Linked DNA regions of Drosophila melanogaster. The protein of the gene in region 2 purifies or fractionates together with the protein of the main gene of each other region. This does not show direct contact. Each region holds a gene or a part of one and is shown on either strand. Other genes may lie near its edges.

Region 1 (4,221 bases), 2.3 Mb from region 2:
AAATTATAGAAGGGTTGCCACTTTGTTTTTCGCTCGGCTTGCCTCGTTCTAGAGAAAGCCGATAGGGGGCGGTAGCTAAAAAGCGGGTGCTTTAAAATCAATTTATATTCTTTATTTATTAATATTATTAAAAAGCATACTTAAGACTGAAATAAAAAAAAACTAAGTTATTTAAGCACAGGCATCCATTTTAATTTATATTTTACTCCTCGAAGAATTTCTGGGAAACTTCGGAGGTCTGTTGTGTGGGGCATTTTCATTTTTTAAATTGGAAAAAATATACTCATTTGTTCGAATTGTGAAATACCTGTTTTTAGAAGCATGAAGTTTAATTCGTAATTACCTTACCAAATTAAATACATTTATCAACGACAAATGAAGTAAACTAGAAAATCTGCTCTCCTCTTTTTGCAGAAACCAAAAGTGAAATGTTCAATTACTATTTAAAAATTGTTCCCACATTATATATGCGAGGAAACAGCGACGGCGAGCCCATATACACGAATCAATTCTCCGTCACGCGATACCGAAAAGATCTTTCAGATCGCGAGCGCGGAATGCCGGGGATATTCTTCAGCTACGAGCTCTCGCCACTGATGGTGAAATATGCGGAGAGACACAGGTCAGTAAGCCACAAAGCTAATGGTTAATTTTACAAGTTTTATTGGTTGTGTTGTGTATTCCCAGCTCATTTGGCCACTTCGCCACGAATTGCTGTTCCATCATCGGAGGCGTGTTCACGGTGGCCGGCATTCTCGCCGTGCTGCTGAACAACTCGTGGGAGGCCATTCAACGGAAACTGGAAGTCGGCAAGCTCAGCTAACAACAATTCGAATCTCTTATGCAGCTTTACTACGCCTAACTCAATATACATTCGACAAATCTCCAAATAAAAGTGCTTAATTTTATAGAAAATAAGGATAGAGCTGTTCTCTTAAGTGGTCCGCTGTCCCACTGACATGAATCCGGATGTGTTTGAAAAGTATTTGGCATTGGCCTCCGTCTGCGAACGCTCCGCCGCCTGCGGATTCACAATCTCTAGACCTTGCAGTGGCGTAAAGGCCACACTGGATGCCGTTCCGGAGATTTGGCGTTTGACCGTGGTGTTGCCGCCGTACACCTGCTGTTTCTGCAGATTCTTGTGCAACGTTTTGCTAATGCGCACCTTGGTCTTCTCATCCACCTGGGGCAATCGGATGCGGCCGGTGCCAGTTTTGCCGATGGTGCCGCGTGAATAGCCCAGATCTCCTTGGTAGGCATCCTCTTCGATCTGAAAGAAAAGTTCAAAGATTAATACATAACCATTATATTTTTAAGCCAGAAACTTACGTCTCCGAAATTCATGCGGTTCGCTTGCTTGCGGAACTCTGTCAGCGCATATCGTTCCTTCATCTTGCGCACGCGTTTGCCTCCTCGCTTCTTCTTGCTTCCCTCGATGGGTTTGGGCAGCGGCTTTATGAACTTCACCGGCGGCGGCTCCTGCAGCTTGTCCAGCTTCTTTTCCACATCCTCCTTGAAGCGCAGTCCAATCTCCCCGTGGACACTCTCATGACAGGCATCAACACGAGCAGCCAGCACGGACTTGGCGGCCACCAAGCGAGCTGCCTTGCGTCGCAGATCTGGCGCAGTATCCTGCACAATCTGTGAGTAGTACACATAGCCAGTGTGCGGCAACATCTGCGTTTGTGAGAAGCCCGAGAGGGTTTTCTTTTGTGCACCCAACACCTGAACATTGCAGGCCGGCATTTTGGATAATTTGGAAAGGCCACCAGCAATGCCCAAGAGTTTAGCCGCCGTCGATGCTCCAACAATCATGGAAAGATTTGGGGCTATGAAGGTCATGCGACTTTCCACATACTCGTAGATCTTGGACTTGAAGTTATTCAGTTCGATGGCCATTTCGCAGGCCTCGTCGATCTTTGCCTTCTCCGCCGGTGTCAGCATGGTTCTGCGAAAGGGAATGGGATTCAGTGACATGTTATTTTGGGTTACACCGTTCAAATAACTTACCCCTGTGTGGTGGACGCCGTGACTGACACAATCATAATGGTGGCCTGCGTGAGAATAGCCTGCAGCTTCTCGTTATTTTTGACCTGGTCCAGGTCGTTGCCCAGCTCCTTGACCGCCAGCAAGTACTCGATTTCACCCACGATCAGGGAGTCCAATTCGGGGAATCGCTTCTGATACTTCTCCTTGGTGAACTTGTGCACAATGGAGATCTCGTTGTCAATGTCCACAGCTATGGCATTAGCGTCCACGATGAGGCAGTACTCTGGATCGGATTCTACGGATCCCAGCATTTCGGCTGCAGTTCTCTGGCGACTGGCATAGTGCTCGATCTGCTGCAGCGTGTTCTTCAGGCGCTCAGAGTCGCGCAGCTTGCACAGTTCCCGCACCGACTGCACGGTTACATCCACGTCCATCAGATTGGGAGCCGGCTTAGCCAGCTTCTCCGCCAGCAACTGTTTTGTGGGAGGGGAATCATTAGGTCTGATCAACATTTGCTTTGGTTCCTTACGCTCTCGTCCTCTGCACTGGCCATCTCCGAATCCTCCTCCTCCAGCTCATTGTCATTGTCTTCCTCGAGATCGGCTAAAAGCTCATCGGCTAGCGACATTTTGGCTTATTTCAAAAGTTTATTTTGCGATCTCGTGAAATTAAGTTTGTTTTGGAATTGAAGTGACCGTTGCTCAGCCGCCTTAGAATACCATGCGGTTCATTGAAAAAATACTAAGTATTAGCATGAAATATATAGGGTATTCATTTAAAGAATACCATAAGGCTATTCCACTGGATTTTAATTGATCAATTTGACCAAATTCAATAAACATTTCATGAACAGAACGATCCAATATCATAACTCTTGTTATTATTCTGGAAAGTTTCGATTTTCCTGCTTAATTAGAATTCTGTATCTAAAAGTAAAGGAATTGAAAATATGGTTGAAAATATAAGGTTGATGAAAATATAGGTATGGCTATCAATTGTTTTGCTTAATTCTTAACTATCACTCTTTATTTATTTTGGGACAACAAAGCCTAGATAAACACAGATCAAAAATGAAAAAAAATGACTTATTATATAAGAAGCATCAAATTGTAACGAAAAAATAAAATCTCCTCAGTGGTATTCGAAAATTCCAACGGGCACGAGTTCCCTAAATATACTAAATAGTCAAGCTACTATTTCGGTATTATTAAGCCACAATTTGACAGAATATTTTTTGGTTTTGGCGCACAATCGCAGCGTCTGCATCCTGGTTTTTTGAGTAACCTGGCAGACGTTTCTAGGCCATTGTCATGTCCAAGAAGTTAAACACCAGCGTGGGCGGGACGCCCACAAACACGCTACTAAATTACTTTTCCAAGTCGCCAGCTTTCGACAAAAAGAAATTGACTCCTAGCGTGAAAACAGATCCCGATGCATCCAAGAGCGAAAAGGAGAATCTCCAGAACCAGCAGCCAAAAGTGAAGGATGGTAAGAAAGAGGCTTCCAAGCCGGCGGCCAAGAGGAAGTTGCCCATTTCCGACGATGAGCCGGCCAGTGGTCAACGCAAGCGGAAGCGCATCGTTCAGCCGGAATCGGACAGTGAGCCGGAAATGGAGGTAACCAAGTCGGAGGACGACTTCTCCGATTGCGCCTCCGACTACGAACCGGATGAGAATGAAGCCAGCGATGATAGCGTTAGCAGCGGCGCGGAGGAGGTGTCGCCTAGCGAGAACGACATGTCCGTGGACAGTCCGACACCCAAGAAATCGCGCAAAAAGTCTAAGATTCTGAATAACAACAATAACAATGAGCCATCGAGCAAGAAGGTCAAGCTAGAGTCGACCATCCAGTTGGCCGAGGGTGCAACCTTTCAAGAAAAGCTGAAGAACCTGCAGAGCAATGCCAAGCAGGATGCTTCCTACGATGATATCGTGACCAACACGTCCAATCTGGATGAGCCCGTTGTTTGGCCGCACCAGAAACTAGAGTTCCTGCAACCGGACAAGATCAAGGACAAGGAGGGAAGACGTCCAGATCATCCGGACTACGATAAGAGCACCTTGCATGTGCCGGAGAAGTTCCTCAATGGCCTGTCGCCGGGAGTTCGACAGTGGTGGGTCCTTAAGTCGGACAACTATGACTGCGTCTTGTTTTTTAAAGTCGGCAAGTTCTATGAACTGTATCACATGGATGCGGATGTGGGCGTCAACGAGCTGGGCTTCACTTACATGC
Region 2 (3,483 bases):
TCATTTACGCTCGCAAATGGAGGACTTGGTAAGCAATGGGCACGAAAGTATTGGTAGGCTACTTTGACTGAACTGATTTCTTACAGAATGAATCGGAAGTCTTTAGTCTGGGCAGGCTGGAGACCATGCTGCAGGATCTCGAAAAGGACAAGGAGAAGCACAGCGAAATTGAGCGAGTCACTGAACTGCTAAAGGTGCGCTCTTATACTTATATCCATTATGCTTGAATCTCAACATAAAACCAATTTACTTTGCAGGGAAACATTCAACGCAGCAAGATTATTACCGATGGCATCAACGAGGCACAGAATCAGTTAATGAAGATCTTCGAGCATAAGCCACACGTTTCTAATATAATCACCCGCTGCGCTTCGAAAAGGAATTTCAAGAAGCGCGAAAAGATCTAAAAGTAATTGACGAACGGAGATGGCCAGCCAAGTGTGTATTAATAAGTTGTACATTACCTAATTTAAGCAGAAATTATAGAATCCAAGATAATTACCTTAAACGCGATCGATTTGTAAGTCGTACAGCTACAAAGAAAACCAGCAATATTTTTTCAATTTATTAAGCTAGAAACACAAATACAAAAACCCTCGAGTTGTATTAAGTAGAAAATTGTTTATTATTTGAATATTTCTGTGGTAATCGGCTTGCGTTTGGAGAAATCCCGTAAACATTGTCGATGAATTAGTTGTTTGAAAGCATGGGTGGCGGTGGATGAACGCCATTGAACATGGGATGCATAGCAGGACGTGGCGGTCCCGGCATGGGGAATCCGCCTGGGGGGCCTAGTGCCCTATGTAGATTCGGCGGCGGTGGCGGCAGGATCTTAGGTTCGAACTTGAAGGCGAACTGAAGGAAGAACTGCTTGGTGTCACGGTTCCAGTGCGTCCAGAACTTGCCCTCACTCTTCTCCACTTCGCGGGACGGCACCTTGAACCCTATGGTCTCGTACGGCTCGGCGGCAAAGAGAAGGTACTGCCACTTGCGGTCTGGCGGCTCGATCTTTTGCTCGTAGGCGGACATGAAGCGGTGACGCGGAACAATGGACTCCGTGATTTCCGGGTAGTCCACCTGAAAGAGCAACGACTGCTGGCCGTTGCTGAGTTCACGCTGCTTGGTCACCCGGTAGCCGGGTCGTCCAATCTTGACGAACTTCTTCGGTTCCACGCGGGGCTTCTCGGGCGCCAGCAGCGAAGAGGGTGCCTCCTTTGCCTCCTTGGCGGCTCTTCTTGCCAGATTATCCTGATGCTTCTTGCCCTGCGTGTGGGCCAAATAGCTGCCCTCGTTGTTGTGCAGCGTCAGGCAGAGTTTGCACTCGTAGGAGCCCAGATGGTTCTTCATGAAGTACGGATCCTTGTTCAGATCGATTGTCTCCAGGGCCAGTTGACGCAGTCGCTCCTTGCGGTCGCGGTTCGTCTCCGACCAGGAGGCTACGCCTCCGCTGCCGGTCTTGCCGCCGGCGCGGTTTTGGAAGTCCATTTTGTAAACTTTATTTTAGTTTTCAACCGCACGAAGGAAAAACGTTTTGCGTTGGTAAAATTTCATGAAAATTTGTTGTACAGAACAGGGTTGTCAAGAAACGCCAATTCGGTTAGGGGTGGTAGTTTATCAGAGTCAATCGATAGTTCGTGTGCAGGATTAAAGTATTAAATAAATAATAGAATGTTTCATAAATCCATTAAAATTCTTAATGATAGTCAAATTTTTGCAAACTGTAATATACATAAAATAACTTATATATTCCTTTTGCGATGTTTTTTTAAAGAATTACATATAATATTTTGGTATATTTTCGTTCCGAAGCTTTGAGAATATTTTACTTTTTCAAAGCGGTCACACTATTAATTCGAGCTGCACATGCTTGATCTTTTTTAGAATTTAAAAAGTGAAAAATGTCTAGACAGCGATCTAAACTAAAGTAAACTAGTGTTGGTGACAAGTACTAGGCCTCGAAAAGCGTGTTTTATTTAAATGTCACTGCGTGGATTACGTCGGACTTGAGAAAAATCGAAGCAACGAGTGTTTAAGAATTTCGATTTCTGTCGTCATTTTCGTGGAATAAACAGTGCCAGTGTCTTATGCGATTTTTAAAGTAACCGCGAAATGGACAACTCCAGCAAACAGGTCATCATGGGTCCACCGGCGCCAATGACCACCACTTCTAATCAACCGAAGCCCGGTAATCCCACCAGCGCCCCTCCTCCACACGCCACCAAAACTGCTGCAGCTCCGCCCAAGCGAATAATTAAGAAGATTCAGCTGGATTTCAACAAGCTCAAGGAGGCTGGACTCGATAGGCAGCTGGCCGAGGTGCTTAGGAAGCAGAAGCTGGATGCCAAGAGGGTGGACGCCCCATCGTCCACCAGTCTTTCCACCTCTGCCGCAGCGCAGTCGACGCCAACTGCGCCAGAGAGCAAATTGCAGTCGCCACAACAACAATTGCGTCAGCCTGGTAATGCATACTTGTATATATATATATTTGCTTTAAGCTGTGCATCGCCCAAAAAACCGTTACAAACCCAGGGGTTTTGTACCAAGTGATACGAAAATCGTCTAAATGCTTCTACGAGTTTTGGGCACAGTACCGAAAACCAAAACGATGGTGCAACTGATTGAGACGCCGACAGATTGTCAAAGAGTTAGTTTTTGTATTAATTGTTCTGAGTTCGTCTCGCAGTGAGTGCGGCGCCTTCACTTTCTTTTCGTGTATCTCGATATATTTTATTTTTTACGTATTTCGAATGGCAACCTAAAATAATTTTTTTTAGTTTAAAAAAGTCTATTTTTGTTAAAAATTCAGGTCTATAGGTTAGAAATATTAGGATGGCTAACCATCTGTATCTGTATCTGAACATCTACAATATGTTCACTTGTCAAACAGGACGTTATTATTTCCAAAACATACTGCCAATAAAATTTATATTGAATAACATAATTTGGTATTTAATTATTTAAAACGATCGATATTTTAATAAGCCAAGAGAATCACATGTTTTACAAGGATATTTTATGTATATTTTAATATTCTTTTAATAAATAAATTTAAAAAACCAAAAAAAAATTAATTCGGGACATTTAGATTAGTTGGTACTTTTCTTTGAAATGAGATGAAATATACTGCTAATACTAGAACACTTCAATATTTTTGTCGTTGTTGTTAAATGTAACACAAAAAGTTTTTAACGAAAACTTTTTTTTAAATTTTAACAATTGAATAATGAGTTTAATCAATAATCATTTAATTTTTGTTGTTGTGTGATAGAGTACTAACTACGTAAAGCCATAAATTATGAAAATTTAATTGGTCAAAAGCAAATAAAATTTTACACTTAATTGTAAAATAGGGATAATGAGCTTAATTCATAAATATGATACCCTTGAAAGGGTAAATATTTTTTTTGACTACTCGTCTGGCAAACTAGATTCAAGACCCACTCGTGCCACAACAATTCGTACTCTTTCGGTGGTTCAATCGTC
Region 3 (4,677 bases), on a different chromosome or scaffold from region 2:
GTTTTGCTTAGAGCAGTTCGCCAGACCATTGCATTATATTGTACATTATATATATGGGTGTACAGACATTATATACATATATATATATATACATACTTGCATGCATTGTATTTGCGACTCTACTTAAGGCAAGTCCACCTTTTGGACTGGCTCTCCACCTAATCGCAATCTCTCGGTTTCTGTTGCTGCATGTTCTTAATACTATTTCACCTAGCTCCCCACCCCTCCCCACATATTATATTCAATTTTTTTTATTTAACCAAAATTTTAGTTAAAAAAGAGACAATTCAGATTGTAATCTATTTAGGCAAGTGGTAGGGTATCTCTAGCATTAGAAGAAGCTAAAAGTAAAAACAATTTCGTAAAACCAAAATTTTTTCTCTAGGATCATAATTATTAAGCTGAGCTAAAAACGAAAACAAATTTTAACTAACTAAGAAGGGACAAAATTGAAATAAGATCAAAAAAGGAAAACATGTACATTTTGGAAGAAAAATCAAAGTCCACAAAATTTTAACGAATGAGAGGCAAAAAATCAGACAAAAATGAACCACAAGAGAATGAAAAAAAAAAACAAAAATGGAAATAGGTTTCTAAGATGTTTTAATATATTTTGTAATAACAATGCTCGAGTATTTTTCATGTATGTAGTTTTTGATCCAAAATTGAGCGATCAACAAAGGCAAAGGGGTTCTCAACGATCGGTTCCTCGAGAGGATTTGCCAATCATCGATCATAGGGCTCTATTGCTGAACGCTTTGTTTTGGGCACAACTACCTCCTCCGCTTGGCACCGGCAGTAGCCTCGTCTGTGGAGGATCTGGTGGTCCGCTTCCGTTTCTGGCTGCTAGGGGGCTTATCTTCGGCAACTTCTTCTTGGGATTCGGATGCCTTTGCCTGCTTCTTTTGGGCTTTCGGTTGTCTCTTCGTTTTGACCAACTCTTTGGATTGCTTCGCTTCCTTTGAATCGACTTGAGTTGGCTCTTCCTCGGATTTCTGTTCCTTTTTGGATTTACGCGAAGTTGAAGTTGAAGTTGGTGCCTTCGTTTTTGATAAAAACAATATTTAGTTAATTTTTTCTGGACTTATTGGGCCTTCCCTACCTCGTTTTCCTGTGCTTCCTCTGTGGACTCCGACTTCTTTGGCGATGCTAGAGCCTCGGACCCCGGTAAATCAATTTTAGATAACTTCTGCGTGTTGATCTGTTCCTTGGACTCCTGCTGGTCACCTAGAATCCCTACAATCCGATCGTATACCTCCTCCACAGTGGGAAACTTGCGAGCACGTGGTGGACCCCGCTTTAGACCCGACCAAAGTGCCACCTGCTCCTGCTTTCCCATTCCGCCGGCGCTCAAACTTAACTCGAAGGCTCCTCGCCGTGGTGCTCCAAGTGCATTCAGCTGGAGCTGAAGCTGTTGGAGACCACGCTCCCGGAGAGCGGAGTGCAGCTCCTCCGCTCGACGACGAAAGACTCGTCAGGATCGGCAGTGCTCTACGTAGAGCACCGGCGCATTGGGATCCAGCTCTTCGCCTGCATCCCGCTCAGCGATTGGCGCCTGTAGAATCGTTTGGAAATGCATTTAGCTATTGAAATAATGTAGTATTTCAATCGTACCTCTGCTTTTTTGTTCCGTTTTGGTGGCATGATCCTAAAGTAATCAGAATTTTTAAGTAAATGGCGCACTTTTTATTTGGCAGTGCTGCCAGATGGTTTAGTAACACTAGGGTGTCAATCGCGACTGCATCCCTGGAAACTATCGATTTGCCGATAACAGGCGTTAAACGACGCGCGATTCCCAATCAAACTGAGTAAACATTTAATTTAATCAACGTAGTTTCAATAACGCCAAGATGTCGCACCTGATGCCCCGGCGGACCAGCGAGTTCCGTGGCGATGTACTGGAGGAGCGAGGCACTGCCGATAAGCGGCAAACCAGGTGAGCATCGAAATCCAACTGATCAAATCTTGTCAACGATGCAAATGCGTATCCTTTTCCAGGGCAACAAAGCGGAGCGCAGCCACGCACACTCCGTCCTCCAGCCAGGCGGCACCCAGAAGGTATGCACAACCATTTGATTATCGAAGGCACAACCAGTAATGTTTGAATCCAATCCGCATAGGCCGTCCGCATCGCGTCTGCCGCAGCCGCTGAACTTGGAGCGCGATCGGGCCAGTCAAATGGGCGTGACGCCCAAGCGAGGCCACCGGTTTGTGCCCTCCACTGCGGAGCGCGCCATTGCGCCACACTCCGACAAGAAATGGGTGGCGGAGAGGGCACAGCAGATCCTGGAATACCTACATGGCATTCAGAACAGCGAGGCGCCCACTGGACTTATTGCGGATCTATTCAGTCGGCCCGGGGGTTTGCGACACATGACCATCAAGCAATTTGTTTCCATTCTCAACTTTATGTTCCACCACATCTGGCGAAATCGCGTGACAGTGGGCCAGAACCATGTCGAGGATATTACCAGCGCAATGCAAAAGCTACAGTATCCTTATCAGGTAAGCAACTCGGATGCTCTTAGGTTTCCAGTGTTCGTTTAATTCTTAAATCCACTTGTGACTTGCAGGTGAACAAATCATGGCTTGTATCGCCAACAACACAGCATTCATTCGGCCATGTGATCGTTCTGCTGGACTTTCTCATGGACTTTTTACCGCCTCTGCCCTCGTCGGATGTGGTGGAGGAGGAGTTTCCGTTTATGGAAACCATGGAGCAGCCCAGCTCGTATCTGAATAGCATGCACTGCGAGTCGACGACCATCATGTCCACCACACAGGCGCACGCCATTCAGCTAGATGAAGACGTCAATGGTCTGCTCTTCGAAGAGGCTAGCAAATGCATTGCCTTGTGGGATCAGGAGCTTACCAATGAGGAGGCCAAGCTGCAGGCGGAGACCAGGGATCAGGTGATCAGCAAGAAGTGTGATTTGCCCGATCGCAAAGCCTTAGACCAGCTAATCGGCGATCTGAAGACGAAACTACAGCAACTGGAGAATAAGTTGCATGATCCCAGTGAAGACAATAAACTGAACAAACTGGAACGTCTTACCAAAGAGCACGATCAGCTTGCCCAACAGCTAGCTGCCAGTGAAGAGGAGCTGATCAAGAAACTGAAGTTATACGAACAGCTGTCTGCCCAGGTAGAAGAAAAACAGTCTAATCTCCGCCAGCAAATGAAGTATGAAAAGCGTCTGGAGCAGGCGGTTAACAGGCAGAAGTTCTCCGCCCAGCAGCTAAAGGAGCTTCAAATGAAGTGCGACGATATGGAAAACTACTCCAAGGCTTATGAGCGCCAGGTGAAGGAGGTGTCCGAGCTGGAGCTGCATCAGCAGGTGATGCTGTCGCGCGCCAAGCAAAAGCAACTGGATTCCGTTGAGGTCTTTAACTCGCACGTGCGCCACCTGAGCATGGACCCGGTGATTTGTGGCCTGATAAAGAGCGGCATTGGCCAGCAATCGGACCTTACTCTGCCACTAAATCCCAATCAAGAGGACATCTCGGAGAGGGTGCAGTGCCTGGAGTTGCTGGGCAAACTTCTGCAACAGCACCGCCAGCAGAATATCGATCGGCGTCAGATGTTGGACAAGCAGGTGGCCAAGGTAAAGTCTGATTCCATCGAGTTAGACACCGAAATCGCCACCATGGACTCTCAGTTGCGGGCGCAGAAACAGCGTCTGACCAAAATGGAGGCCAGTTATCGGACCAAGCGCGACATGCAGGCGCAGCACAGGCAACAGCTGCTCGAGGATCAGTACGACCAGACCGCCCGTCTGGATGAGTTGGAGAAGAGGGAGAAGCAGGCGCTGGAAAAGCTGGAAGCCAGCAAGCAACGGAACGAGGATCTACTCACCGCTGCTGAGCAGTTTCAGGAGCAGGATCTCAAGGCCCGCCAAGATCGCCTGGAAAAATGCGAGCAGAAGCTGGCCAAAGCGGAGGACCAGCTGCTCGCCGTGGAATCAAAGGTCAACGCGACTCAGGCCAAGCTGAACGAGGTGGAGCAAAAGGTGTACTCCGCCAAGCTGCCATCCTTTCAGCCCGTGCTAGATGCCATCAAGAATCATTGATTTGATCCGGATGTTTTGTTGTAGTCCAGTTGATCTGTAAGGAATTTATTAAAGAGTATTCTTTGTTTTCAAATTAAAAAAGACAATGAAGCTGTCTGCAATGTTCAATGTTTTATGTTTTATGAAATGCATTTATTTTTGATTACATTTGAATTAGGTAAATTGAGTTGAACACAGCGGTTCCTGGACAAAGGAGGGGATGATACTCCATAATATCAGATTTCTTAAGTTCTTTATTGCCACACGTATTACGGATTTCATTACGGATCTCCGCTGCCTTTTTTGGGATTACAAATTGCACTTGGAACGGTTTAGCTTTACATGGTTATACATATGTATACACTGAGTGGTGGGTAAATACGGCAAGGGTAACTTAAGCGTAGGTATCTATAAATATTAAATAATATTATCATTTGGCCAATTTTGTGTAGTTTAGCGTGCGATTGACTTGTGCCACAAAAAAGTTGCAGGGAAACGTTTGCATTTATTGCTATTAAATTAATTAATTTGGATATTTCATTTGTGTGCGCTTTTTTCGTATTCGTAGATATATATTTTGTCATTTTTGGGCTTAAAATAAACGAAAATGAGGTATTATTTCAATTAG

What was found.
Region 1: the proteins of Sf3a2 (region 2) and Prp31 purify together in Drosophila melanogaster (affinity purification with western blotting; one study listed by BioGRID). This does not show direct contact.
Region 3: the proteins of Sf3a2 (region 2) and Ndc80 purify together in Drosophila melanogaster (affinity purification with western blotting; one study listed by BioGRID). This does not show direct contact.

The regions. Positions count from the first base shown.
Region 1 is NT_037436.4:15,157,566-15,161,786, reverse strand, and holds Prp31 (Pre-mRNA processing factor 31), read right to left. Parts: upstream 2,688-4,221; 5' UTR 2,618-2,687; coding exon 2,519-2,617; intron 2,463-2,518; coding exon 2,011-2,462; intron 1,949-2,010; coding exon 1,330-1,948; intron 1,271-1,329; coding exon 935-1,270; 3' UTR 824-934; coding exon of another isoform or gene 688-823; 3' UTR 649-687; downstream 1-648. Other genes in the region: CG7011 (uncharacterized protein), read left to right, coding at 415-622, 688-823; Msh6, read left to right, coding at 3,300-4,221.
Region 2 is NT_037436.4:12,812,423-12,815,905, forward strand, and holds Sf3a2 (splicing factor 3a subunit 2), read right to left. Parts: upstream 1,598-3,483; 5' UTR 1,486-1,597; coding exon 691-1,485; 3' UTR 606-690; downstream 1-605. Other genes in the region: Sap130 (Sin3A-associated protein 130), read left to right, coding at 1-28, 87-194, 258-407; CG42588 (uncharacterized protein), read left to right, coding at 2,110-2,458.
Region 3 is NC_004354.4:13,609,139-13,613,815, reverse strand, and holds Ndc80 (Ndc80), read left to right. Parts: upstream 1-1,753; 5' UTR 1,754-1,850; coding exon 1,851-1,936; intron 1,937-1,998; coding exon 1,999-2,058; intron 2,059-2,120; coding exon 2,121-2,505; intron 2,506-2,573; coding exon 2,574-4,070; 3' UTR 4,071-4,145; downstream 4,146-4,677.